2 linked regions of the Saccharomyces cerevisiae S288C genome follow. Each later gene encodes a partner of the first gene's protein in a complex. Each region holds a gene or a part of one and is shown in the gene's direction. Other genes may lie near its edges.

The links. Proteins that work in one complex are often made in the same cells at the same time.
Region 2: the proteins of QCR10 (region 1) and QCR9 are in contact, whole or in part, in a cryo-EM structure (PDB 8YIN), measured with the Saccharomyces cerevisiae proteins. Residues at the interface, in NP_011864.1 of Saccharomyces cerevisiae: Asn29 (codon at 2,102), Leu32 (codon at 2,111), Trp33 (codon at 2,114), Gly35 (codon at 2,120), Ala36 (codon at 2,123), Leu39 (codon at 2,132), Gly40 (codon at 2,135), Phe42 (codon at 2,141), Val43 (codon at 2,144), Glu46 (codon at 2,153), Leu55 (codon at 2,180), Tyr56 (codon at 2,183), Lys58 (codon at 2,189), Leu61 (codon at 2,198); in NP_011699.1 of Saccharomyces cerevisiae: Arg13 (codon at 1,848), Asn14 (codon at 1,851), Ala15 (codon at 1,854), Val16 (codon at 1,857), Val18 (codon at 1,863), Gly19 (codon at 1,866), Phe22 (codon at 1,875), Ala23 (codon at 1,878), Phe26 (codon at 1,887), Gln29 (codon at 1,896), Thr30 (codon at 1,899), Val31 (codon at 1,902).

What each region holds. Positions count from the first base shown.
Region 1 is NC_001140.6:105,872-108,622, forward strand, and holds QCR10 (ubiquinol--cytochrome-c reductase subunit 10), read left to right. Parts: upstream 1-1,954; coding exon 1,955-1,960; intron 1,961-2,023; coding exon 2,024-2,251; downstream 2,252-2,751. Other genes in the region: oxysterol-binding protein related protein OSH7, read left to right, coding at 184-1,497.
Region 2 is NC_001139.9:858,563-861,074, reverse strand, and holds QCR9 (ubiquinol--cytochrome-c reductase subunit 9), read left to right. Parts: upstream 1-1,598; coding exon 1,599-1,601; intron 1,602-1,814; coding exon 1,815-2,012; downstream 2,013-2,512. Other genes in the region: E3 ubiquitin-protein ligase UBR1, read left to right, coding at 1-1,174; protein translocase subunit TIM13, read right to left, coding at 2,471-2,512. UniProt on the Saccharomyces cerevisiae protein: Component of the ubiquinol-cytochrome c oxidoreductase, a multisubunit transmembrane complex that is part of the mitochondrial electron transport chain which drives oxidative phosphorylation.

The sequences.
Region 1 (2,751 bases):
GAATGTTAATTCGCTCGTGCGTACTAATTTTTCCGAGGTCACTCGCAAATCCAGAATTCTAAAGGATGAAAGTATATTTTCTGAAATCGTCAACAAAGAAGGGATGTGATATATTCAAAATGGAAAGATTCCTCCTTCTTTCATTTAGAAATAGGAAACTAACCAGTAAATTAGAAACAAAGAATGGCTCTCAATAAACTAAAGAATATACCTTCTTTAACAAACAGTTCTCATAGCTCAATTAACGGCATTGCATCCAATGCTGCAAATTCCAAACCAAGCGGAGCAGACACGGATGATATCGATGAGAATGATGAATCTGGGCAAAGTATTCTATTAAATATTATTTCCCAGCTGAAGCCAGGTTGTGATTTATCTAGAATCACACTTCCGACATTTATTCTGGAAAAAAAATCGATGTTGGAGAGAATCACTAATCAATTACAATTCCCAGATGTTCTTTTAGAAGCACACTCCAATAAAGACGGGCTGCAAAGGTTCGTTAAAGTGGTAGCATGGTACCTAGCAGGTTGGCACATTGGGCCCAGGGCTGTGAAGAAGCCCCTAAATCCCATTCTTGGAGAACACTTTACAGCTTATTGGGATTTGCCTAACAAGCAACAAGCCTTTTACATTGCAGAACAAACGAGTCACCATCCTCCTGAATCTGCGTATTTTTACATGATTCCAGAATCGAATATTAGAGTTGATGGAGTTGTTGTGCCAAAATCGAAATTTTTAGGAAACTCAAGTGCTGCAATGATGGAGGGGTTAACTGTATTGCAATTCCTTGATATCAAGGATGCAAATGGTAAACCAGAGAAATATACTCTATCGCAACCAAATGTTTACGCAAGGGGAATTCTGTTTGGCAAGATGAGGATTGAATTGGGAGATCACATGGTCATTATGGGTCCTAAGTATCAAGTGGATATTGAGTTCAAAACAAAGGGCTTTATTTCTGGTACCTATGATGCAATTGAAGGTACAATTAAGGATTACGATGGTAAGGAATACTACCAAATTAGTGGTAAGTGGAATGATATTATGTATATCAAAGATTTGAGGGAAAAAAGCTCTAAAAAGACTGTTCTCTTCGATACTCATCAGCATTTTCCTCTAGCTCCTAAAGTCCGCCCATTGGAGGAACAGGGAGAATACGAATCGAGAAGGCTTTGGAAGAAGGTTACGGATGCGCTGGCTGTACGTGACCATGAAGTAGCTACAGAAGAAAAGTTTCAGATAGAAAACCGCCAAAGAGAGCTGGCCAAAAAGAGGGCCGAAGACGGCGTTGAATTTCATTCAAAACTATTTAGAAGGGCAGAGCCAGGTGAGGATTTAGATTATTATATTTACAAGCACATCCCTGAAGGGACCGACAAGCATGAAGAACAGATCAGGAGCATTTTGGAAACTGCCCCGATTTTACCAGGACAGACATTCACTGAAAAATTTTCTATTCCGGCTTATAAAAAGCATGGAATCCAAAAGAATTAGGCTTCTCATTCTATTTTAATTATACTAGTACGATTTCTCACTCTGTAATTTAATATCAGTGTAATATGCACCTAGTTATGGGTAGTTTTTGCTAACGTTACGAGCCGCGAAACTGTCCTCAATCTTCACCACTACCTCTAATGACTGAAGAATGCTATGCGATATAACGCTGTCGCACTTTGAATATATACTTATATTTACATAGTTTTCAAGTGCGTATTACTATTGCAAAGTAGTATTTTGTCACGTGATTTTGATCCAATTAAAACTAAATATGGTTCAACCCGTTGTTTCCGCATCAAAAAACCATACCATTTATCAAGGGGACGGGATATATCACATAACAGTTTGAATGCATAATTTGTTATAGATATCTTCTGGAATAATCTTCACAGCAAAAGCGCAAGTCGAATAATATATCGATAAATACAATCCATAAGACTTAAAACTAACCTCAATGGCGGTAAGTATCCTATCATATTATGTGAGCTAGAACCGAATTAGTATACTAACATTTATAATACAGTACACTTCTCATCTGTCTTCAAAAACTGGTCTACATTTCGGTAGACTTTCTTTAAGAAGTTTAACAGCTTATGCTCCGAATTTAATGTTATGGGGTGGTGCTAGCATGCTTGGGCTATTTGTATTCACAGAAGGATGGCCTAAGTTTCAAGATACGCTATACAAAAAGATTCCGTTGTTAGGACCTACATTGGAAGATCATACTCCACCAGAAGATAAACCTAATTGAAGCCAAAACATCCAACCGGCTGAGTGATTTTATTTATTTGTTTTACGTTCTTTTCTATCATTTTGGAAGAGGAATTAATGCAAAACACATTTGTATTTTTTTTTATTTTTGCATATTCTCGATTATCTATACATATTTTTAAACTGGATCATAAAAGGTATAAAAAGTAATTGATCCATACAACATTTTTAAATATTTACCCCTCTATTTTCAGAATATTTACTAAAACATCAGTTATCAAAGAGTAGGGAAAAGTTAACTACAGGTTTGTTTTTCCTCTTTTTATGTATCTTTTGAGCTTTGTAATTGGGCAGCACATCTCTATGTTTTCAGGGAAACCTATTTCATTCGCCATTTTGATGATTTAGGCATACGCCAATGCTAACGCCGTTTCTTGTAATTTCTATTTTTTCAAATGGAGTACTTTACCTTCCTCCCGCAGCTGGAACTTTCAACCCGCCGGAAGAAAAGACCAAATAATATTATAATTAATATTTAAA
Region 2 (2,512 bases), on another chromosome or scaffold:
CGAAAGTATTATTTATGATCTAGCTTATACCTTCCTGTTGAAGAGTCTTCTTCCTACGATAAGAAGGTGCTTAGTCTTTATCAAAGTGCTACACGAATTAGTGAAAGATTCTGAAAATGAAACGCTGGTCATCAACGGTCATGAGGTTGAAGAAGAACTGGAATTCGAAGATACCGCCGAGTTTGTCAATAAGGCATTGAAAATGATTACTGAAAAAGAATCCTTAGTCGATCTTTTGACAACGCAGGAGTCCATTGTATCGCATCCATATTTGGAGAACATCCCATATGAATATTGTGGGATTATAAAACTGATAGATTTATCAAAATATTTGAATACTTACGTTACCCAATCTAAGGAAATCAAGCTACGTGAAGAGCGTTCTCAGCATATGAAGAATGCGGATAATCGATTAGATTTCAAAATATGTTTGACATGTGGTGTCAAAGTGCATTTAAGAGCGGACCGCCATGAAATGACCAAGCATTTGAATAAAAATTGTTTTAAACCATTTGGCGCCTTCCTGATGCCCAATTCAAGTGAAGTTTGTCTCCATTTGACACAGCCTCCTTCTAATATTTTTATATCTGCACCATATCTAAATTCGCATGGTGAAGTTGGTAGAAATGCCATGAGAAGAGGTGATTTAACCACCTTGAATTTGAAAAGATATGAGCACTTAAACAGATTATGGATTAACAATGAAATTCCAGGTTATATTAGTAGAGTAATGGGTGACGAATTTCGAGTGACTATACTTTCCAATGGTTTCTTGTTTGCATTTAATAGAGAACCAAGGCCAAGAAGAATACCTCCAACAGATGAAGATGATGAAGATATGGAAGAGGGAGAAGACGGGTTTTTTACGGAGGGAAATGACGAAATGGATGTTGATGATGAAACTGGACAGGCCGCCAACTTATTTGGGGTTGGCGCAGAAGGTATTGCTGGTGGCGGAGTACGTGATTTTTTCCAATTCTTCGAAAACTTTAGGAACACTCTACAACCGCAGGGAAATGGCGATGATGATGCACCTCAGAATCCCCCACCAATATTGCAGTTCTTAGGACCTCAATTTGATGGAGCTACTATCATAAGAAATACAAATCCAAGAAACCTCGATGAGGATGACTCTGATGATAATGATGACTCTGATGAGCGAGAGATTTGGTAGATTCAAGCCCTCTACTATGTTTTATAGTTGACATATTTGTATATAAAAACTTATACATTATTAAACATTTGCGCGTCGATTGACTTTTATTTATTATTAACAAAGAAGTAATACCAACCTAATTACAAATACTTCGAAGTGACTATCATAAGTTTCCTTATCTAGCGAAGGCAACTTTTGAACTCCCCAGTTGTTAATATGTATCATTATACACGACCCAATCAAACGCGGGGAAGTCAATGCCGAAAGAATTCTAGGACCTAAAAGCTGCTCAATCCTTGGGCCTTTCCCTAATGACATCCCCTCTCAAACTTTAGCTTAGCAGTTGTATTTAATGTCCTGTCACGGATAGTCAATAATCGTTGAAGGTTGATTTTCATATCCTTCGCAATTTCGTAAAGCAACAATAGCAATACGGACTAAAATGGTATGTTGGTGTGTGTGTGTGCTGCTTCACATTTCAGGCTAAAAATGTTATCCGTGGAATCTTCCTTAGCCAAGTATCATGGGCTTTGGAAATTAGTTTCCCACCGATGAGCGCAACGACTTAGCGAAGCTTATGAAATTGGTGACAGCAGCTCTATGAATATGTTCCATGCGTTTCCATTCAGGTTACTAACAATGCATAAATTATGAGTAGTCTTTTTCATCACTATATAAAACCTTTTTCAAACGAAACGCTGTTTTTGTTGGTACTATCTTTGCAGGTGCCTTTGTTTTCCAAACTGTATTTGATACTGCTATTACTTCATGGTACGAGAATCACAACAAAGGAAAATTATGGAAAGATGTCAAGGCTCGAATAGCTGCAGGCGATGGAGACGACGATGATGAGTAAACGCTGATTATGTCACACATATACGTGCAAACGCTCTCTCTCTCTCTCAAGCTATATAAGTGGCACTCGTCTTATTTATTATTTTTTTATTTTGGCTGGTTGTTCATGTTCAACCCAACCTCATAAAGGCACTCAACTTCATATTTTGACACAAATCTATGTCTCGCCAAAGCGCATTCAAATTTCAGAATGGAAATAGACACGAACGAGCCTGTCTGTCAGATGTTCACAAAATCCTTATTATAATTTTATATTCTACTAAAGGAAAAAGAGAATTAGGAAAAAGAATAACTCATTTTATGTATATACATATATTTTGTACATATCTATACCAAGCAAGTATAGTGCAATACTGTTCTTCGACGTTATTAAACGTAATAGCATTTTCTTGGTATCCTTTGAATCTTATATACAAGTACGAGTACATACTGCGCAGTAAATTGATCCTGATGGTGTGTTTAGATTTCGCCAGAAGCGGAGGCGTTCTGGATTCTGGAGAT